Lonchura striata: one gene and its partner. Each later gene encodes a partner of the first gene's protein in a complex. Links are inferred from orthologs where the notes say so. Each region holds a gene or a part of one and is shown on either strand. Other genes may lie near its edges.

What was found.
Region 2: the proteins of ITGAV (region 1) and ITGB6 are in contact, whole or in part, in a crystal structure (PDB 9CZA), measured with the Homo sapiens proteins. The link is inferred for Lonchura striata from reciprocal best matches to the Homo sapiens genes ITGAV and ITGB6. Residues at the interface, in NP_002201.2 of Homo sapiens: Tyr48, Phe51, Lys72, Trp123, Leu141, His143, Gln150, Glu151, Arg152, Pro154, Asp178, Ala179, Phe184, Gln186, Phe189, Pro204, Tyr208, Trp209, Asp249, Tyr251, Tyr254, Pro274, Arg275, Arg278, Thr279, Met302, Ala303, Tyr305, Phe308, Pro328; in NP_000879.2 of Homo sapiens: Ser183, Pro184, Phe185, Lys187, Thr188, Thr189, Pro190, Ile236, Asp237, Thr238, Pro239, Asp273, Ser274, His275, Phe276, Gly277, Met278, Asp279, Lys281, Leu282, Ala283, Gly284, Val286, Pro288, Glu308, Thr311, Ile312, Gly313, Gln314, Ile316.

The regions. Positions count from the first base shown.
Region 1 is NC_134610.1:31,993,562-32,005,362, reverse strand, and holds the start of ITGAV (integrin alpha-V), read left to right. Parts: upstream 1-6,462; 5' UTR 6,463-6,496; coding exon 6,497-6,651; intron 6,652-10,409; coding exon 10,410-10,537; intron 10,538-11,801.
Region 2 is NC_134610.1:16,541,643-16,553,443, reverse strand, and holds the start of ITGB6 (integrin beta-6), read left to right. Parts: upstream 1-4,663; coding exon 4,664-4,724; intron 4,725-5,458; coding exon 5,459-5,538; intron 5,539-8,340; coding exon 8,341-8,545; intron 8,546-9,408; coding exon 9,409-9,655; intron 9,656-10,523; coding exon 10,524-10,689; intron 10,690-11,210; coding exon 11,211-11,372; intron 11,373-11,801. UniProt on the Homo sapiens protein: Integrin alpha-V:beta-6 (ITGAV:ITGB6) is a receptor for fibronectin and cytotactin. It recognizes the sequence R-G-D in its ligands. Internalization of integrin alpha-V/beta-6 via clathrin-mediated endocytosis promotes carcinoma cell invasion.

The DNA of each region.
Region 1 (11,801 bases):
TCAAACACTTGAAATGCTTATTGAGAGGCAAGGGGAAGGAAATATCCCTCTCAGTGTCAGTTCATGTTATTACCATCTTATAGTGCTTTTGTATTTGAGTAAAAGAATATTCAGAGTATTGGATAGAAAGGAACTCTATTCTTCCCTGTCTTTCAATCCTACTTGCTCTGCATCCTGTTCTTATTTTGTTATCTAAGTCTTCAACATGTTTAAAGTCAGAGCTTGTTACTAAACACAGAGCAGCCTGAAGAATTATTCCTTTCCCAGGGAATTTGAAAGTTTTAAACTTGTTTTTGTTCCAAATCCTTCAACAGGAATGTGGAAGCATTGCTGTAATACAGGAGCACTGGAGTACAGATGCTTCAAGGCAGATGTGGCATTATGTGCCTGGAATGATCAATTAAAAAACCAACATGACTGCTCTGTGAGTCTGAGCCTTGTTAGATTCCTTTGAAAATGCATGATGAAAAACATTGTAGAAAAAATTAGAAAGTTCACGGAAAAAAATTAGAAAAAACTAGAAAGTTTGGGGAAAAGATTCAAAAGAAGCTGTCATTTGTACTAAACAGGAGATGATTTGCACTAAGGACAGGGATAACAATATCTCAGGGATACAACAGGAAGCAGTGGTCTCTGGTATTTCTGTATAACCAGAAGCAGTCAAGAATGTAAGAAACCTAGGAAATGCCTCTTGTCATCTGGAAATTTTCCATAAATGGAAATAAACTAGAAAGTGACCTAGTGCTTATAGAGCCTGTGTGAGGGGAAGTGCTTTGTTACTCTATCTCAGCAGAATACTGTTCCACAAGATTTTCTGCCAGACATAGGCATTTCCACTTTCTAAATAAAACCTGGGTGCACACTTGCCATGGATAATGGACTCAGCAGAAAGGACAGTACTTAAAATAGTATGAAAACAGTGGCAGGCAAAAGAAGAGAAAGGTTCTTAGGAAGGAGATTAGGATATAACTAAGAATAAGATGATGGCAAAAATAAATAAGCCTCTTTCTCACCTTCGGGGAACTGCATAAAAGCAGCATGTTCTGGAGGGTCTTTGTGAATGTAAAAAGGTAGAGTTAAAATTCATGGTATCCAGCAAGCAGTGGATCTTCCTTCCAGGAAAGGCAGGAGGAAGTGGAGGAGAGAGTGATGGAGAGATGGGAGGTGTTATGGACAAAAAGAAAACTTTAAAGTAAGAAAAAAAGGAGGCCAGTTATTGTTAACAAGATTCCCCAAAAGTTTTTTTTTTTTTTTTTTTTGTTCATAACAGGAGGGATGACTCTTTGTTTAATCAAGTGTACTGTTAGCACTCCAGTATTAATTGTGACTATTGTGTGTTTACAAGCTTTGCTGGATACAGGCAGAAGGGTGGATTAGGAAAAAGTGCAGCTCCAGGTGCAGTTCTGTGCAATGGAATTCACCTGTAAAGGAACAATCACTGCAGGAGTAACTCACATGGGAGCTGGAGCTTTCCATCTCGTGGGCTGCTGTCCAGGTCAGACATTTCAGAGGGATGGGAGAAGCAGGAACTTTCATACACAATACACTTATTTCTTGTGAGACAAGCACACAGTCTGTTGATTTCAATGTGCCATCTCCTTTCCCACTCTAGGAGCAGAAGGCCAATTCCATCACACTCTCTAGATCAGCAAATTCTCTCCATCTCCTTCTAAAAAGCTTTCCTGAGACCTTTCCCACCAGGACACCCAAGAGCCCCCTGTCTCCATGGCTCTCTCCTGGGAGCTCCATCGCTGTGACTACCCAAGAGCACTGCCCTCCACTCCTGGGGGTAGGTGTGGTGACTTCCTAGGCCTTTCCCTCTGGGCTGGTGTGTTCCCACACCCTCTTCCTTAACAGAGCAGGGTGGTATTTAGCTTTTTGTCTCCCTTACACCTTCTATATGCATCATATTATGGAAACGTTTTCAGAGAGATTGTGCAGAGAATAATGGATGATGGAGCTTGTTGTTTAGTTTTTTTTTCCTGATTTCTCCCTTATTGCATTGTTTCCTGTCACAATTTCTTTCTAGGGGTAAAGTACTCTCTAAAAGTATCTTTTAAAAATATCTAAGTCTTTGGGGGTGTTACTGAGCAGCATCTGGATCTATTTGTTTGGTAATCTGCTGAAGTGCTTTGTGAAGCAAAAACTGAGTCACATGTGATTTATAATGACCAGCTTTGTCAGACTGAATAAATATGAATCCTTGGGTAAATCAAGTAGTGCTGTTCCTGAATTTGGTGCTGTGAAATCCTAATGTTAAAAAAAGGCCTGGTGAGTAATGAGCACCCTATAAAACACAAAAAGGCTATTGCAGAAAGACTTTGACTAACAGTGGAGTAATACAGCTGTCAATATTGAGCAAATCAGACAAGAACTGGGTACAGCTCACTTCCTTTTGATCTGGGAGATCTTAGACTCTGTGCTAGGAGCTGGTTTAACAAATGTAGCAGCCATACTCTTGTTGTGAAAGCATTGCCCCATAGCCCCGGGCTAAGGACAGCTTTTGCTAACAGCCAAATGAGATTTGGCTCATGTGAATTGCTCATAGGAGCAATAGAGCAAATCAAGCCCAAACATCTCTAGTGGTTTCCTCCTGTTTCTCCACTGAATGCTTCCAGTTTTCAGATGTAATGTTTGATTTTTCCCAATGGATATCAAAGATAATATTAAACAAAATAGAAGTAATAAGGCACAACCTGACCAAAGCAAACTAATAGGTAAAGTCCATCTTTTACTTTGGTTTCTACTGCCTTGTTAGAAACTGAGTTACTTCTTAAAAGGTCTGTTCAGAGCAGCTAAGCCTCTTGAAAAGCTCAAACGTCTGGATGGCATGAGAGCAAAATACTTACTAGAACTCTCACATCAATGAAGGCTTTTCTGGGACACTAATAGTCTTGATGAATAAATGAGTGCTGATCCTTTGCTCCAGATATTCATTCTGCTGGTACTGTAAAGCACCAAATCCACTTAGAGGCTGAATTTTATTGCTTAAATACAGGACCTCTTGCTGACCGTTTGAAGTAGGACCACAGTGGTTTGCACATTTGCAGTTTCTACTGAATTGTGGCACTTAGTCCATTTCCTTGCTGCTACCTTTCCTGTCATGAGGTATAGACTCAAAGGAGAAACATTCTGAAATACTCTGTTACAGGCTGGACACTCAGGAATAGCAAAAATAAAAACCCAAAAAAAACTGCCTACCAAAAGTTCTTTGCATCTTGCAAAGTTTTATTCAGCTGTATTAATAGCTTGTTATCTGAATAAAAGCTAATAAGACCATAACTTGTAACAGAAATATGAATTTGGTCTGTTGCATAGAGTTGCAGTCTTTAGACTCCAGTCAATTCCTAAATAATTGCATTCTGTTTTGAATATAATCGAAAAGTTTGGTGTCTATGAAGCAATCCAAGTGCTGCCCACTTCTTAGTTGTTGTCTTTTCACCACCAGATATCTTAGCCTGAGAACTGAAAGCTACAGGTAACAAGTAAATGTAGAAACACATAATTAACTTGTTTACATTCTATAATATGATCTCATTGGCTGTTCCTTATCTGTATGTTAGTCATGCTGAGAACGGAACCAACTAGGAAAGAAAATCACATCCTCGCTGGAAGGGTGTTTGCTGCTCTACATAAACAGGATTGTGTCAGGCAGGGTAACTCGATGCAAGCCCCGGAATCAATCACTCACTTTCTGTCATTTACAGTAAGATTGGCTTTGATTGGAAGCGCATCCCAAGCCTGTGCGCTTCATTTGCTTTTCCCACGAGGAGGCTGGGGGCTGTGATGCCCTCCGGGGAGCTGTGGCTCGGCTCTGGGGCTGTCTAGACTGCTCGACTCCGCCTGTGCTGTGACCTGGGGCCAGGCGGCAGCGCCGCCGCTTCCTGCAGCCCCGGTGACTCAGTCCCTGCGAGCGGAGCCCTGCCCGGGGCTGAGGCAGGGCACCTTGCACTGCCCAAAGGGGCACGGAACACACGCAGCAGCTGCGAAAGAACAACCCTCTTGAAGGGAGAGAAGCGTTTGGGATGAGGGATGAGTGCCCCTGACTCTTGAGTTGCTCCTATGGACTGGCTTTGCGATTTCTGACAACAAGGAGCGCTGCGCAGCCACTCCCTAGGAAGCCAAAATTGGTTTAATAAATTGTAGTGTCTTAAAGATATCTTATCCTTCACTGCTTGTGTGATGTTGTGAGGTTATACAGTCCTTAGGAAGCCAAAACTGATCATTTGGTTAAAAAAATTCTCATAACTTAAAGATAATTTATCCTTCATTTATCCTTCGCTGCTTATGTGATGTTGGGGAGTTATACACTCCCTAGGATGCCAAAATTGATCATTTGGTTAAAAAATTTTTAGTATCTTAAAGCTTAATTTATCTTTCACTGCTTGTGTGATGTTGTGAGGTTATCCAGTTCCTAGGAAGTCAAAATTGATCATTTGGTTAAAATTTTTTTAGTATCTTAAAGCTAATTTATCTTTCACTGCTTGCGTGATGTTGTGAGGTTATCCAGTTCCCAGGAAGCCAAAATTATCATTTGGTTAAAAAAATTCTAGTGTCTTAAAGATAATTTATCCTTCGCTTGCTTGTGTGATGTTGTGAGATTATCCAGTCCCTAAGAAGCCAAAATTGATCATTTGGTTAAAAAAATTTCTCATATCTTAAAGGTAATTTATCCTTTGCTGCTTGTGTGATGTTGTGAGGTTATCCAGTTCCTAGAAAGCCAAAATTATCATTTGGTTAAAAAAATTCTAGTGTCTTAAAGATAATTTATCCTTCACTGCTTGTGTGACGTTGTGAGGTTATTCAATCAAGTAGAGAAAATAAATCCTCCTTTTCCTAAGTTACTGATTTACTGATCAAAGTACTCATAAACTACTCTTTAGTTTATTGCCCTATTTACTAATGTTTGGAAACTTATTAACTCATCTGTAGTTTTGCTTTGATCAGGTCTGTAGTATAAAAGCTCTGAGACAAGTCAGTAAATAACAATAAAAGTAATGTGGAGTTTGGTTGGTTGGTTGGGTTTTTTTTAATATGTTGAGGGGGCAGCAAACTTAGAAAAATTAGCAACAAGCATCAAGTTTATGTATAGGAACTCCCTTTCTTGATAGAATTTTTAAGGTGACTTCCCAAAGAAATTATAATTAATAGCGAGAACAAGTGAATGGAACAGAGGAGTAGCTGGTGATTCTTTGGGTTTTCCTCTGCTTATCGTAGAAATGTTTTTATTTTGGGATTCCCATTAGACTAAATCAGTCCCTTGGTAAATATGTATGGGGTATTTTTAGCTTTTATTTAAGGCTTGAAACATCATTGTTTGTTCTGTCCCTTTTTATCATGCTCACAATGAGGAAAACAAAAAGTTTAGACTTTTGGTGGCAATATACTCCAGTCCTGTTATGTTGTACAAATTAATATGAATTTTTTGCTCTTTGTAGGTGTTCATTGTGTTTTGTTTTACCTGAGACACTGCTATCTATACTCAGCAGATGTTGAACTCTCTTACAGGCTGAGGAGGGCGAGGCTAGGATGGGTTTGACAGCAGCCTGCAGCTGGCTGAGTCGGGATGATAGTGCTAAAATGTTATTAGTGAGCGATGATACAAGAGCTCCAAACCACAACTGAAGAGATTGGAGCTGTGCTGCGTGGTTCTTCCCTAGGTGGGTAGTGCAGGGGTGCAACAGTAACAGGGACCTCCATCAGGGAGGATTTACAGGCTCCCTCTTCCCTGCCTTGCACCTGCTGCTGGGCATTCCTGTGGCTGGGGAGGTGCTGTGACCCTGGGATTTAAAATTACTTCATTTAATAGCCTATGTATTTGAAAATCGAGATTTTTTTTTTTTTCCTCCATGGCTGGCTCCACACTGGCACTCCCTTCACTCCTTGCTTAACAGCTTTGCTGAAAGACTTGTTCAGAAAGGCTTCACCAAACAGACTTGGTAAAGCCAGGCAGGGATGCGTGCCCCTCTTCAAATTTCTAGCACTCTTTCATAGGATGATACAATGGTTTGGGTTGGAAGGGACCTTAAAGACCATCTCATGTCAGCCCCTGCCGTGGGCAGGGACACCTTCTACTATCCCAGGTTGCTCCAAGCCGTGTCCAACCCGGGCAGGGATGGGGCAGCCACAGCTGCTCTGGGCAACCTGTGCCAGGGCTTCACAAGGAAGAATTTCCTTGACCTTCCTCCAGCCTTCGTCTCGGGCGGAGAGAACAGTGGGATGCTTGGAGCGAGGGCAGCTCCGGGCCCGGAGTCCCGCCGGAGCCGGGCCGTGCCGGGCGCTCCCCGCCCGCTCCCGGCGGAAGAGCGCGGCGGCCCGGGCCCGGAGCGGCCAGGGCCCGCCCCCGGCACCACATGATGCCGCCTCTCCTTCCTGCCGCCCCCGTCCCGGCGAGAAGGGGGAAGTGACCGCGCCGCGCTCCCGCCCCGCCGCGGGAAAGGCGCGGGGCCGGCGCGTCCCGGCAGAGCCGCGCCCGCGGAGCAGCGCGGGCCGGGCCATGGCGCGCCTGGGCACGCTGCTGCTCCTGCTGGGCGCCGCGCTGGCCCCGGGCAGCGCCTTCAACCTGGACGTGGAGCGCCCGGCCGTCTACTCGGGCCCGGCGGGCAGCTACTTCGGCTTCGCCGTGGACTTCTTCGCCCCAGACCCGTTCTCGTAAGTGCGCGTCCCGCCCGCCCGCCGAGCCGCTCCCCGCGGAGCCCGAGCAGGGCGGCGTTGTCCCGGCGCGGGGCGAGAGCCGGCGAGGATGGCGAGCTGCCCCCGCCCTCAGCAGCCCGGGCGGGCCGGGCGGCTCTCGGAGGGGACGCGGCTTTGCTCAGGCCCCGGAGCGGGGCTGGAGCCGGCGCCTGCCCCCGGCGCTGCCCGGCAGGGACCGCTCCGCATCCCTCCCCTGGCCGGGGAGCCAAAGGCGATCCCGAGCGGCCGCGGCTGCGGTGGGGCAATGAACCTTGCGCTGCGGGATTCTCTGCACAGCCTGGTCTCATGCGAATGATGGTGGCGATAAAAACAGTGTAGAAAGATGTAGTTATGGTACTTTGTTTGCTGAAGCTGTGTCCCGTGGCATTTGAGAAAACCTGCTGTTTTCTCTTTGGGTGTGCTTTGCGGGAATGTTGTTTGAATTGTGGTGAGTCTGTGCGAGTCAGCAAGCTGCTGAGGAGTCTAGAGAAAGAAAAGTTCCATACAAGCACCCTCCACGTCTGCTTCCTGAATATGTTCCCGTTTCATGTTAAACATTAGGCAGAGTGTAGTCGCTGTTGCGTTTCAGACCTTTGAATCCTTGTGTCACTAACTCGCACAGCCTCGGTGTTGCCAGAATGAATCAGGCTCTGGCTCTGAAATGCGGGCTACAGTAAAACCAGCTTTTGTCACTTCTCTCCCACCCCTCTCCCATCTTAAGGACTGTAAAATTGGAAAAGTTGCTGGCTTTGATCCTGCTAAGGAGGTATTCTCTCCCCCCCCCCCCCCCTTAATCTTTAGCTTGTAAAACTTTATAAGCAAATTGTACAGCTATTGAGCAAGTCTTTCTGCAGTACATCATCTAGCTTTGTTTGAATTTTTTTATGACGTACATATATTAGAAGCCAGCCTGTCTTAACTTGCACATGTTGCACCATCTTTCTCCACTATCTTAATCCTGTAAGTCTTGGTACTAAAAGAAAAAAACTTCTATTTTTGTCCCGCCCTTTATTTTTAAGTCAGCATGTGTGGCCTGCAGTTATCAAGAGACTGGTAAATGCATGTAATAAACTTTCTTCCCTGCTTTCTGATAAGGAATTATGTGACACAACTCTCCATGAAATCACTATTTGGAACCTTTCCATTATTTTTATAAGAACTATTGACCTCAAATTGCACTGCTATTAAAGAAAACAGTGTGGTTGTCAGGCAGCATGAAAAGCTTCTGTATATTTCAAAGGGAATTCTCACCTTTTTTTTTTTTTTTTTTTTTTTTTTGGTCATCACTAGAAGTTTGTTTGTATCTCCATTTAAGTTCTTAATTGAATCAAGTAGTTCTGCAGCTTTCAGAGGAACAGGCTCTAGTGGTGTTAAATTTTCAGTTTATGCCTATGGCCACTGATATCTTGTCTCCTGAAATAGCCAGAAATACTTCTATGCAGTGTCCAGGCTTGTGCGGCGTCACAAGGTTTCACGCCTTTCTTTTTGCTTTGGTGAGCTTTTCTTCATCACCTGTTTTATCCATGAGTACCAGAGATTAGATCAGTTTCGCTGGGCTAAAGCTTTTTGGATTGTCTAGCCTGACAACAAAGGCATGCTGTTAGTTCCTGAATGCTCCAGCTGCTGTTTCACAGTCTATTTTGACCTGCTGGATGCCAGACTGAAGCATATTTAGAAGTCCAGGTTGAAAGTCCTAACGCAGGCGTGGAAGTGATGGTGCTGTGCCAGGCAGGGGCTGTGTGCTGCCTGGCAGTGGGTGTAGCTTTCACAGGAGCACAGCTCCCTGACAGCTGGAGCAGGTTTGTCACACCCCCTCTTGTTAGTCCAGCGTGCACCTCCATGGAAGCCCCAGCTCCTCTGTTGGCCCTGGAAAGCCCTGGAAAGGGGCTGTTCCTGTAGGCACACCAAAGGTGCCAGAACACTCCTGGTGTTGCCCCAGCGTTGGGATGGGGTGGGTGCTTCAGGAGCATGATACAGGAAATTGGCAGTATCAAAGCATAGCTGGTGTATTCCCATGGAAATGCAATTGTCCCTCTATTCTGTATGTGCATTAGCGACTTCTAAGTATTTGGGTAATTTGCATATTATTAGAAGAGCTGTGACAAAATCGGCTTGCTTGGTCTCTGATGATGAAAATGCATTTTGGGGAAAAAACCTTTGTGGAACCACATAATGGTTCCTTTATTTGTAATTTTTTTAATAAACTTCATCACAAATGTTAGCTTAATAAAAATTTAAAATATATAATTAGAATTGGAATGAATAAATCTTTTAAATAAGCGTCATTGGAGGACTTCTCAAAAGTCAGTGGTACAAGAGTAAAATGGGAGGTAAGCTACCACTTTTTTAATAGGTGGTAATTATAACAATTTATATGTTTCTTTACTTGGCATTATAATGTTCATTTTTAAGCATTTCTGTTCTGCTCAGAGAGCTGATTTTAAACTGATTAAAATGTTTCAAAAATCTAAACAGTCTAAGAATGGCAACTCAGGAAAACAAATGGATTGCCAGCTAGCCTGGATTTTCTATCAGGGTCCATGCCAGGACATTTTTATGGTTCTGAAAATTCACACAGGTTGAAAACTGGTAGGTCTTCATGCAAACTGAGCTTTGATAAGGTGCTATATGTTTATACCTATACTTATCTCTCTACTGGAAAGGAGCCTGGAGATGATTCTGAAAACCAAAGCAAGTTTGATAAGCCTGGGTTTGCCTGCCTGCAGCCATTCTCTCCAACCAGTCCTGCAGCTTGTTCAGCTAACCAGTTTCCAAACTAGAGAACTGTAGTGCCTGACAAGACCTGCTCTTGCAAGCTGCATTCCCTCTTAAGCAGTAAGCCACAGAGCAGAATGATTATAGTGTAAGGAAGCACTAGATTTTGTCTTCTAAGCATGACTTCATGCTTCACATTGACTTTCTCAGGCAAATGCTGATGAGTGAAGTGGGGTCTCAGAGGTGCTGGGGCTCCTGGAAGGTCCTGGAAGATGCCAAGAGCCTTGTTCAGTGTTTCTTACTTTGACACGTCTGAATTTTGCCACCTGTGCAGGCACAGTTTCGAGGCAGTTCCTGCTCGGGGTGCACGGAACAAGTGCCTGTAAAGCAGAGGTGCAGAAAAGCACAGCAGATGCTAACAAGAAAATGATGCCTGTGCAGTGGGTGTGGGTAAGGACTCATTAACATGCAGATCTGTGGCTCGGAGTGGCTGGCACTTGGAGATTGTTTTTACAGGAGCACTTGCTCAGGCAGGGCTGACTCATCACGTTCAGTACATGCTGAGCTCCCAGAGCACTGCTGCTTTGTTTACATATTGTTTCCATTTTGACTGACTTCCCTGAATTACCCTTACAAAATTAACAGAAATTATGCCACCTGATGGCTTTCGTAAGGTGCAGAAGTACACAATTTCCTGCTCTGCTGTACACATACATATTTTTGAAATGAAAAAAGAGCATGAAAGGTGTTTCTCTCATTTAAAATATAATCCTAAGGAAGCCTGGATACTTTAAATTTGTAATATCTTTTTTTTTCCTCTACTTTTGGTAAATTAAGTTTTTTTGCATGCTTTTGATGCAGAAAAGAGAACCTCATATGAATTTCTCTGTAACTGAGAGTAGTTGGAGTTGGATTTAGATTAGAGTAGATTTCTGCTTTATTGATTCTTCAGATGTCATAAAGTTATAACAGCTGTGCCTTAAGTGTTGAAACCTTTGTTTTGCTTCTTCTTTTTCCTGCAGGACGTATCTCCTGGTGGGAGCTCCGAAAGCAAACACTACCCAGCACAACATCGTAGAGGGAGGGCAGGTGCTCAAATGCAACTGGAACTCCAACAGGAACTGCCAGCCCATTGTGTTTGATGCCACAGGTAATGTGTGGGTGGGAGGAGATGGAATATCTCTGCTCTGATGCTGCTGTGGGGAAGCAGAAAGGTTTCATGTCCCTCTGGGATATTTCATGGTCATTGTGAATGTGGTTGGTTTTTGACTGGCAGCTAGTCAAGGCGTGCTTGTGCTTTCCTTTTCCTCTCCTCTCTGTTAGAATTCTGTTGTCCCTGGTATGTGCTGAAAGCCTGAGTGAGCAAACATTATTCTTCTTGTGTTTTAACCTATTTATATTTCTCCTCTGTACTTTTCAGCAATCCTAAAACATTTGGCAACCTAATTCCCAATGAACCCTGAGGGGTTTTCTTCCTATTAAGAATGTGTCATATGAGGAAAGGTACTTTCAATATCAGCAAAGGTGGTTTAGGCAGAAATACCCAGAAGTTTCATCTAAAACTAGGAGTATGTCCTAAAAACTGTGGAGAAAAAATGTATTTTTAAATTTTTTCCCCTCAGATATAGCTCCACAGTGTTTGTGGCTTATATGATAGCAGCACTCAGGTAATAGGCATTCCTTACCCTGTGCTGAAGCACAGAAGAGCTGAGCAGCAGCAGTGTGGACGTGAACAATTTCAGCCATTCTTCATGCTCTGGTGCACACAGTGATTTCCACAGGCTGTGGCAGGTCATGAGAATGCACTGCATGTGCTTTTCTGCTCCAGCCACTCGCTGCTGAATCCTGTTTTCCACAGCATGTTTCAGGGCAGCAGAAAAACCTCCCCATGTCATGGGAGGGGATTAGCAAGACCCATATGGTAAGGCAGAGGAAACACCTGTGCCTTGAAGATCTGGTTGGTTGTAATTCATTCTTGCCTCTGCCAGTGTTTTGACTTGGCAGTCTAGAAGTTGCTAGAATGATGCAGCCTTTTTAAATTGTGTGCAGTAGAGTGGAGAAGCTCTTCTTCCAATTCCACTGTCAAGGTATGCCACAAAACACTGTTGGTATTCAGATTCCTGAAGTCTTCATATCTTTTTGTGAAAACCACTATGTCACCAGTTCCATTGCAAAAAAACACAAAGAAAAGATGTTTGCAATGGCACCCACAAACCCCAAGTCATTATCATTCCCTCATATCATTCAGTAGGAGTATATCTGTCAGATTACTAAAAATCTCTAATAAGCTGCAAAGTCTGACATTTTTTTCTGCATCAGTGTCAAAGCAGCAAAACCAGATTATAACTATCTTCTTGTTGTTGTTCTCTGGGCTTTTTGTTTACTAGAATACAAGTGTACATTTTGTTAGTGTG
Region 2 (11,801 bases), about 15 Mb from region 1:
TACAAGTTGAAAACACCCTGAGTTTCCTGCCTGCTGCTCACTGTACAGTTGGAGAGCAGCCCCTCCTTCCTTCTCTGCCCCTCTGCTTGTTCAGGGACAGGCTATTGACTTCATTCCCTGCCCTCCTCTAACACTGTTCCGGAAACAAGAGGAGACCAGAGCATGAATCACAACCTGAGTCACCGATTCCCAACACCTTGTTTTGCTCAGAGCTGGAGGGGAAAATTCCTCTCTTCTGTGTGATTCTCCATCTCCTGTGACCCTCCAGAAGAGGCTAAAAACACCCCCACTCTTCTTCCAAAACTGCACTCCATCGTGTGTAGCCATGCTGGCAAACAGCACCTGGAGGTTAGGAGAGACCAAATCTCCCTGGGCTCTGTGGCAGTGTTTTGGTCATAGGCCCCTAATGGAATATGGTATTAGCACACCCCAAAACACAGGAGCTGGAATGAACCAGCTCCATCACAGTATGTTCAGAACTTTCCTTTCAGCAAGCTCCAGGTCACCCATAGAGGACTCAAAAGCTTACAGCAGTTTCTTTGAATGTATGTAATTTTCTGTTGGAGCAATACCCATGTCCCACCATGATGATTAATAAAGAAAGAGAGAGCAGATGTATCAACTGAAAAAAAAAAAAAAAAAGGCAGCAAAATAATTAAAGAAGCAAAAGTTTCAGATTTTGCTGATTTGTTACTTTCACCTTCACTGTGAATTTCCCCATTAAATACAACTGTTTGTTAGGGATTGTTGCTTCCTCTTGAAATGTTTTTGCCAGCTCTCCCTAAAGCATTGTCAGATCTGTACTGCAGCAGAGACAGAGACAAGACAGTCCTTGCAGTGTCTGTGCAGTATTTGTGTGTGGTTTCTGTCTGTGCTGGACTGACCTGTGTGCAGAACTCTCACACCACTGTGTGGATATTCACATCATCTCTAGCTCCCTAAAGATGAACCAAAATTTCAAGCTTAGAGACTTTTTTCAGCCTTCATTGTTCAGCTAACTCACAGGCATCCTCTGAAACATTTGCCATTGCTGTACTTTGGAACTGGGTCTTATCAGACTGCTGGGGCATATATTTCTGTGCAGATTTTCCAAGGAAAAATGCTTTCCACTTCTGCTGGCCCAAGAGTATGGAAGCACTTGACTATGCAGCTATGGAACATTTGTCTTCTTTGTGAGAGAAGTGTTTTAATCCGTAGACTTTTGTAGAATCTTCACTTACTTCCTTTCAGGTTAAAAAGTTTGACTGAAGTATTAAAGTCTACTTTCATTCCCTGCTAGAGATCGTCAGGAGCTTTGAGGATTTGACTGGGAAGTCAACCAGACAGAGAATAAAGTCACCAGATGATTCAAGTACAAAGCAACATGCCTCTGGCCTAAGGAGTGCAGCCCTTTGCCTCTTCCAGATGCAGTGAGGAGTAGGAATAGGGTGGAGAGAAGGGAGACTCTGCCTCACAAACTTGAGAAAGCTTTTCTCAAGCACAAGAAGTGTCTCCCTGCACCTTTGTAAATATTGAGAATCATCTCAGCTGGGGGACACTCAGACTTTAAATGGTTCCATATTTTTCCAGGCTTTCAGGATGTGTATAACTAGATTGCTGGGAATCAAGAGCTGGCTTATGTGTGAAGCTGAGAGGTCAGGGCTATATTTGTGCCCGGAATGGAGGGAAGACTTGCATTGTTCAGCACTGCCTACACTGAATGATAAACTGTTTTCTTTTCTGATGTGTCATTTAAAAACTCTAACTCTGATTTAATAGAGACCAGAATTTCCTCCAAAATAATATAGTGGCTGACGGAAACAATCATAATTGTGTTCTTTCTCTACTGTAAACTTCCTTTTTGTTCTATCTCATAGAATCAATGCTTTTAATTTGGGTGGGTGATGCGAGACTGTATTAAAAACCTTATGAAGAATGGGAACCCTGTTGCCAAATCAAGTAATACCATGACCCCAGAGCATTTTATACATCCTTCCCACATCAGCATGGCTACTCCAGATTGAGATTCTACTCTTCTAGTGATGATTAAAGCAAATAAAGCATTTATCTAGTAGAGGAACTTCCTGGTCAACTTACCTTTAGTTTGCACAGGTGGTGTTTCAAAACAAGAATCATATGTCTGCTTCCTGTTTAGGTATTCTTACCTTGCCCAAGGTTTACTCTTGGTGCACACTGTCTCTCTTTCAGGACCTCTCTTAGGCTCCTGCTCTCAATTTTTTTTTCCTTGTCTGTTTCTGTTGTTGTTTATTCTCCTACTTTCTTTTCCTTCGCTGCTTTCTCCAGACAATCCACGGTGATCTAATAGATCTATTAATAATCTAATATATTCCTAATAATTTGCAGAAACTTAGCTATTTTATTCAGCAAAGGCTTAATTCAGATAGTCTGGCAGTCACCTCACTCAGAGGCAGGCACTTAGCTTCCGGCCATGCTATTCTTGCCAAGACCTATGCAAAATATTAACCTCACAAGCAAATGGAGAACTGATAATATCAAATAGAATTTGTAAGTTTTATATAGGATATATTACTAATTCTCTCTACACTTCAAAGTTTGATATCTTCAATCCAAGAATAAGCATTTGCTAATTGCCAGCTGTTCAGCTGACTGGTCCTTAGTTTGAGACCCTGCAGGTGTTGCTATCTTGTGGTGGCTGCAGCGCTGCCACCAAGCCCTGTGCTTTGAAGTGTTGCTGTTCCCAGGGGCCAGTAGCCCATCAGAGCTACAAGGTGACCTACACTGAAAGAGAAAGCACTGGGTTTTGGGGGTCTGCAAGGCTGTGGACATAGTAACAATCTTGAAGGACACATAGAGAAATGTCAGTCAGAGCCAGGGAAGTAGGATATTTGAGTAGCATATTACAGGGGGATGTTTCTCTTAGCAAGAGCAAACACTTTTGGTTTATTCCACTTCTTTTTGACCTTATGTAATTACATAGAGTGTTCTCATAGAGTTGTGTCTTCACCAACTGAGGGAACATAATCTAATCGATGTTTTTTTCATGCCACAGAAAATCACTGTAGCTGAGCAAGTGCCTTACAAAGGGCACTCTGAGGCATAGAGAGCAGTTGAAGGAGATTTAGGAATGTTGTAAATAGAAATGTTAAGATACGGTTTGGCAACAGCCTAAACTGGGCTAAATTTGGCCTAACAAATTCTCACCTTTCCTGTCAGTTCTGCCTTGAACTCTGGACTGGGCAGCCACAGGGTTTAAGGGACAAAACCAGATGAAAACCAGCCCTCCACCTTTCCCACAGAAGGTGATTGGGTTTGGTTGGATCAGTTTGAAACGCGGCGTGTTTGGGCATGAACGATGAGTAATAAAGAGGGTGGGAACACAAGGGCAGAGCAAAGGTAGTCCTGATGTAATCCAGGGTGAGTTGCTATTGAAATTACCCATAGTCTGTGTAAACACTAGTAAAATTGGATGTGCCTGGGAATATTTCCAAGCACTAGAATGAGATTGTCTGTGCTATTAGACTGTTAAAAAGCTCCCTGGCATGAATTTGACCTCTTCCAATCAATGCTCACTGCAAACAATTTCTGGGCACAATTTGGTTGCTAGAATTGGCCCAATAGGTACTTTGCAATCATAAACTCAGGTCTTTCTGTGCCAGTTGGCCCCAGTGCCCAGGAATGTTTTGGGCATGTTGAATTTAACTAATACAGACCCATCCCTACTTTGACTATTGCAAATCTTTATGAAAAGACAGGACTCGTCTTGAAAAAATGTTTTTTAAAACAGGCAATAACAGAGTATAAAAGATGGGAAGACATAAAATCTGGAAATAAGGAATTTTATTTTCTTTTAATAAGGTGGTAAGAAATACATATTTTGCCTTCATTTCAGGTTGGGAAGGTGGATGAGAGATAGCAATAACTTGTTATGCAATTGTTTCTGTGCTGTAGAATATTCAGCTGCTTATTAGGCAGAGTTAAGGCTACATGATTCTTTTTTCAAGTCAGTTGCTGTACTGGGAATAAAATTATTCCTCCTTCTATATATTAAAAGAATCTACAACTCCAGCATTTTCCTTTCCGTTTGGAATGTAAAAAAAAAAAAATCAATGTACTTGGTATCTTGCAGTACTGAAGCAAAGTCCTAAATTTTAATCTGCGATTAGTTTGGGTTTTTTCCCTTCACAGTTGCCTTTATGAGTTTCCCTCCACATCAGGAAATCTGAAAAAGTGGGATTTTTTTCTTCTCTCCAGGTATATACTCGGCAATCTTAATGATCCATTTTCCCTCGGGGCACAATTAAAGGTGTTCTTTTGAAGGAGCTTTAGAAGGGCTGTTGTACAGTGCAAACACGGTCTCTTGGCTGGGTTGCTCTAGGACCCAGAGTGACTGGGACTGACAGGAATCTTCACCTGAATGAATTTTCCCCGTATGCCTTATAAGGAGCCCAGGAAAACAAGGAAGTGATAACCATGTTCACGTTACTGTGTGCACAGCTTGTCCTCTCTACCTGCCCAGGTAGCCCTTGTTTTCACTTTTGTTCATGGTCCGTCCCGCTGGGTTGCAGCTTCCTCGCGATCCGGTGTACGTGACATCCCAAAACATACCCTTCGGGAATGCATGCTTTTTACGACATTCTACCTTCATGCAGACGATAATTAACAAGCTAATATTTTTTTGTCATGCAGCCAGCACTGAAAACGAATGGGGATTGAATTGCTTTGCCTCTGTTTCCTATTCCTGCTAAGAAATAACTATGTGCAAGGTAAGGCTCAGGGGCAGGGAGATCAATTTCAAAATCATTTTGCATTGTTTCTTGCTTGAAGTTGACACGAAATAGCTCTCTGCCTTCTGTATTTAATCTTTCTATTTAATGACCTTTTTTGGATAGACTGCTGTAGGGCTGCATTGCCAATTCATCTACAATTTGGTGGTCATTATATAGCGCAACAGGTTTGAAAGAGATAGACATTTGAGCAATTTCATTTTCACTAATCACAGTTTGATCTGTTAAGAATCTTTCATATTATACATATGGCTGAGTATTTCTCTGGTAGTTACACAATGGAGAAAAATCATATCAAGCATCTACGGAGCTGAGTGAAGCAATATTAAGCATAGAGAGTGAGCATAAATCTGTTCTTTTAATATCCCTGGTTATGTGGGAAATGACTTACCTACACCATACCAGAAATACATGTAACACTCTCTCAGGTGCACTGGAGGGAACAAGGTAACATGTTCTAAGTGAATGCCACCCATAAAGCATGCAAAAGGAGGTATGTTAATTGCCAGCAATTCTAAGGCTTTAATCTTTATTGTAGAGTTAATCTTTTACCAATAGAACTACTGTTAAGAAGAAATTTTATCAGTAATCCTAAATATGGCTATATATGTGTATTTTTCACCACCCACATTCTCTAGATGGCATGTTTCTTCATAAATTGAATGATTCAGCATATTATTAACAGTCTTTTATCTTCTTGGATTTAAATTCAGGGACCTGTTCTCAGGAAAGCACAGTGACTTGTGAAGATTGTTTGCTTTCCGGACCACACTGCGCTTGGTGTTTGCAAGAGGTAGAGTGATAAAAAAAAAAAATTCAAAGTAAGACTTAAGTCTTTGTAGTCACTCCAAGTGATGAAGTATTGACTTAATTGGGTCAGCCCAGGGTTTTGTAATGCATGCAGTGCTTAGTGAAGCCTTCTTGGGGAGCAGAAGTGGAATTTAATCTACTCTCCATGGTCTGTTATTCACAGTATGGTTGTTAGGATGATTGTTTATTTGTTTGTTTTCTTGTTTGAAAAAACCCACGAAAACATCAACCTTTCAAATCTAAGGCAGAAATAGAAATGTTATTAGGGGGTCTCAGGTCGTCAGCTCAAGGGCTGACTCACCCCCAGCACTGATGATGAAGCACCAGACACAAAGTCAGAGGCCAAACTGTATCTGACAGATTACATGCCAAGCCAGACAGTGCAAGCAGAAGGTTTGCAGGTATCAAGAGTATAAAAGTTTGCAGATGTAGAACTTCCATATAGAAATTATAAAACTGTGATTAATTTTAAGTATGACAATAATGTCGGATTTATAATTCATATGATATAGATATGTTTTGGCTAAAGCATTTAACTTAAAAAGTATATCTGGATTTGTTTCTTATGGCTTTGTTTCAGATTTTCAGTGCAACCCTGGGGAAGTGACTTCACATTTCTGCTTTTAAAACTTTCTTCTGTAAATGGTGCTAAATAAAATCTCCCCACTTCACAATAAATATTCTAGCTCTTAGTTCATCATCATTAACAAGATAGTCAGCTATTGCAACAGAAACTTGACAGAAATGCTAGAGAAATAAAGTATTTTTCATTTTTGTTTCTGGATTGCACCTTTGCTGCTAACAGCTTTTATTGTTTTTGTGTATAGCAAAATGACACAGTATGGGACTAAAACACTCTTTATGAAATAGCTCAGAAAGAAAAAACTGCATTTCATTTAAAAATTCTAAAAATATATATTTTGCAATTTGCAAAATATATTAACCATTGAGGTCAAAAAGACCCCACATTAGTGTGTTTGCAGTTGTTTTTATATCTGTACTATAAAACAGGATTTTGTTGAAATTGGATCCCATAATTTTGACTACTGCCATGTATTTTCAGAGAAAAAAGAGCCCAATATAATTTATTGATTCAAAAAAACCCAAAACCAAACCAAAAAAAAACCCTGTGGAACTATTGAAAAGTTCACTGTAGTAAACATGCTTTTTCTTCTTTGTTCATAAGCTCATTCATTTCTTTGTTAGAAAACAGCACATAAAGCATGCAAAAGGCATAGGAGCTTTAGTATCCAAGCATACAAAAGCACCTCTAAGGAAACCACTGTTTTCTGTAGGATAAGAACACACTTTGTAATTGTATTTGAAATATGAGGTTGTCTCTTCACACATTTTGAAAAGTTACAAACTGTGTAACTAAAGGAGACGATATGGATCTCCCTGTGAAAGGTTTATAATGGTACGTGTAATTTATGTGTGCTGTATTCAAGAAGCAGTGGGTGAGTTTTGCCTGAGCAAAGGCATCTGGTTCAGGCTGGAGAATAATAAACCACTGTTCCCAACAGGTGCCTCAACACTTCCACCAAAATATATAAGATGCCTGAAAATTTTCAGGCATGAAGGGTGATATTTTGGTGGGAAAAAAAGGGTCATAGGTCTGTTTTTAGTAGGTTTAAAGTAAATTTGTTTTGTTTTGCATGGAAAGTTTTTCAGCAACTGAATTCAGAGAATATTTGTGGCTTAATGGCTGATCCATGGGTTGCTTGCCCAGACCTAGGAGAAAAGAGCAGATGCATGGTATGGGCCCATGACTATCCACCAGAAATTTAATGTTTCAGATCTGATTCTGCCAGACATTGCCCAGGCTTTGGTCAAAAGGTCTTGCAGGCCAGAGCAGTTTCCAGGAGACAGCTGACTGATCTTGAGAATCTTGACTCTAGACAAAACTCTGGGAAATAAGGCACAGAAATAAGGTAATAAGGCACAGAAACCTCTTTGTAAAAGTAACCATTAACTTCAGCACCATGTGAGGTTAGTACCTACCCTGTAGCAGTGCTGTGGAAAGGAATGCATATCAATGCTTTGAACTGAGTAATGACAATAAACTTTGAGATATACAATTGATATTTATAGGCTTTTGATTTCCTCTGTCTGGTAGAAGGTCAAGGAAGATGCTGGGCTGAATTTAGATGTGGGATGCCGGGAGCACCACTGGTGCTGAGGAACACTGGGGACAGGCTGTGGTCATTGCTGGGCACCAGGCAGAGGAACAAGGACTTGATGCCTGCTTCAGTGAACAGCTTAAATGAGGAGAAAGTGTAGGTCAGAAAAAAAGAAACAGTAAACACTGGGTATCCACAATCTGTTTGTCACGAGTAGTCCAGGAGTTTATTATCAGCAAGACCTCTTATTTTATTAAATAGCGTGCTTCAATCAGCAGTTCTAAACTGTATAGGAAAGACTGATGCATGTGTGGCACAATTCTGTGACAGAAAAACCAGTGGCTCAGAGGGGTTTTGTGTTATCATTCCCAGTGCTGTGAGAAGCCAAATGCAGTGAGTGGCACAATTCCCATTCCCCAACAATAGAGCAGTTTCTCCCAGGATAACAAGTCGGTGTAAGTTACATTAATTATACACCTGTGTGACATGACCCATGAAGGGCAAATTTGGGTTTCTGTGCCACCTATATCTAGTTCTGCACTAATTTGCACAAACTTGGACCTTTGTTTCTATTCCCTGAGTTGGACTGACCTTTTGTGGGCAGGTGCATGTGGCTAGTCAGCAAAAACATTTAACTCATCCCTTCCTTCTCCCAATTGCATTAGAATTACACAGACTCATCTGGAATTCATGGGAGGTGTGATACCCTGGAAAATCTTTTGTCCAAAGGATGCCAGCTGAATTTCATTGAGTTCCCCATTTCAGAAGTAGAAATTCACAGAAATGATCCCCTAACTGCATCATCCCAGAAGACCAGTTCTGATGTCACACAGATTTCTCCCCAGAAATTAACTCTGAGGCTGCGACCAGGTAAGTCACAGCTCATAGGTTCATTTCAGACAGTGTGATAAACTGAAGCTTCTTAAGATTGAGCAATCTCAAAAATATCTTGACAGAATAAAGATGAAAACCTGTGTTGAGTCCAAAATTATCTGTTGACTCATCACATGACAACTAGGTTCAACTGCGTTCAGAATATTTTCAGAAGTGCTGGGTACATCATAAAAAAAAGGATATATATGTTTAGTTCCTCTCTTCTCTTGCCAGTGAGGTGGCAGGGAGAGAATGAAAGCCCCTGGCTCCTCCCCAGCCAAGCTCTGTGCCTCTCCCCTGCTGGTCTAGCAAGCAGTGACATTTATGGTAGCATTCCAGACCCACCTTGGGGTCCCTCAGATTTGAATTTTTCCTGGAGAAAATTTGGAATGAAAAAAAGCAAGAGACATCTAGTTAGGTCAGGTCATAGTGTTGGAACTGAGAATAAAATCTCTGTGTACACTCTGACTTTGTTTAAATTTTTAAAGGATATGATAGGACCCCAAAGTGCTACCTCTAGTTGTAATTAGCTTCATATCTAAATTTCCTAAAGCTGCATACTGTTGAAGAGATGTTTTCATATTTTTTTCAAATTATAGCAATTAGTTATAATTCTGTGGTTATGGTGTTACTGAAGAGCTGTTTTAAAAACACCCCAAACATTAGAACTATTTTTAATCTTTTAGACCCTTATTTGAGATTTTTTTGTTGAGAATCTTTGAAATATTTTTGCAAATGCTACTGGTGGTTTAAAATACCAGATAATTGTCACCATATTAGGTCTATGCAGAAATTGGCATTGCTCATGTTTTCTGCACAGAAGTGATGATATGTGTTCCACTTTCCCCTGACCTTAACAGGACATGCAGAAACAATACAGATCAAGGTTCGCCAGACTGAAGATTATCCAATTGATCTCTACTACCTCATGGATCTTTCAGCTTCCATGGATGATGATCTGAATACAATCAAAGAACTGGGTTCAACACTTTCCAAAGAGATGTCAAAACTGACAAGCAACTTTAGACTGGGGTTTGGATCTTTTGTTGAAAAACCAGTTTCACCATTTATCAAAACTACAGCTGCAGAAATAAAGAACCCTTGCAGGTAGGCAGGGGAAGTCCCAACATCTGTTTGCATGCCAACACTATCATAATCTTTAGGCTAAAATTAATTTCAGCGGCTTCCCTGGAAACTCTCCCCTCTTCCAGCTGCAAATGAGTCCGTTTGTGGAACAAGAGTTTGGTTCTCTTTTTCACCTTCTGATCATCATTCTGTTGAATCTTAAGTTATTAGGATAGAGGAATCTGGGAGTGAGTGAGTCTGCTTTATAGCGTTTGCTGCTCGTTACAAATGTGCTCAATATGTTAACAAAAAGGTATGTGGCATGTAGTTTTGTATTTTTTCTTTAATTTCTTTCATTTTCTAGTGAATATATATATCTAAAATAATTTTATGAATTATACTAAGGAGTTGCAAACTCAAACCCAACAGAGAATACCAGTTTCATTTAGCCATCAGTGCTGTTCTCCTGCTTTTTTTCCCCCTTAAGGTCTATCAATCTCCCCAGCCTCTGGCTGCCCTAGCTCCCAGCTAACCTGTGCAGGGGAGAAGCTGGACTCTGCAACCTGGAGCAGGACTGCAGCTGGTGGTTGTCTCTGAGTGCCATTAAGGAGCTACAGATCCCAATATGATTCTAAATATGAGATCAAGGCACAGCAGGAGGCATGGCAAGGGCTGCACGTTGGTAACTGACAGAATTACTCTGCTCTAGGAGGCATTTCCCAACCTTTCTGCAGATTTTTTCCATTGCCCAAGAGACTGAATGCTCTTTAATTATCTTAGGTTTTTCACTAATTCTGCTCAGGCACAGACAGGAGACAAGACCAAAACTAATCCAGGCAGCCCTCTGAAGCAGCCATTCCAGTGATTTTTCACTCTCTTTTATCCATAAGTTGTTTCATTTTTCTTGCAGAAGCGTACCATACGAGTGCTTACCCACCTTTGGATATAAAAATGTTTTGCCCCTAACAAATGATGCTAAAAAATTCAATGAAATTGTGAAAGGACAGCGAATTTCTGCTAATATAGACACTCCAGAGGGAGGATTTGATGCAATCATGCAGGCAGCAGTTTGCAAGGTAATTGAGATTCCTAGGTATAATATTATTTCATATATTATCTCTTCTAGTTTTATATGTTGGTATTTCAAAACGACAGATTCTTTTTCAAAAAATTTTAACACAAACCAAGAGCCTCATTAAATTTGTGTGAAAATACTTTTGGCTGTACAAGTAAAACATGCATATTGCAATATTTTTGTCTAAGTTTCCTTTTAATTGCCATGGACAAATAAGCCCAAATATCAGTATAATTAGTGTCTGTTTTTCCGTTTAAATATTTTTTATTAACTATGTTTAGAGTAGTAAGCAGATTGACATGAACATGGCCAACTCGTGTTATTAAACATAGGGATGGGGAAACAAAATGTTAGCCAAAGACAATGGAATGAACATTATCTTTTAGGAGATGTGTTGCCTGTGATAATTCCTTGAGAATGATACAACTCATTCATTTTGAGATGCCATTCTCCAAATATTTTGCTGATTTTCTATGTTGTGATGCAATATGGCTTGCTAAACTAATGTGTTTTAAATTACAGGAAAAAATTGGCTGGAGGAATGATTCTCTACATTTGCTGGTGTTTGTGAGTGATGCTGATTCCCATTTTGGGATGGACAGTAAACTGGCAGGGATTGTTATTCCTAATGATGGGAACTGTCATTTGGACCACAATAATGAATATTCCATGTCAACTGTTCAGGTAATTATCTACAAATTTTGTACGCTCTCATATTCTGGAAATGTAAAGACTAACACAAACAACTTAGAAAAATAGTGAATTACACTTTTAGCACTGAAATGTGTAAAAGCCAGGGAATCCAGATATTTAATGTAATCTATTTTATTTGTAACTGGATGTTTCAGTAAAGAGAGAACAGTGTGTTTATATTGAATCAGGATAGATTATAACTAAGAAAAAAAAAAGAAAAAATACAATTTCTACAACAGGAAAGCACATGGAGTTAGACTAGTAGTATTATTAGAGTAATTACACTAATAGTATTTCCTTCTGCAGGGAAGGCGAAATTTGCATTAATTATGTTCCCTGAAAGGGTGTGAATTCAGGACCAGTTCAGGAATTTGGAGGACACTGTTCCTGTATGAGAACTTACCAGTTTAAGATTCAGTG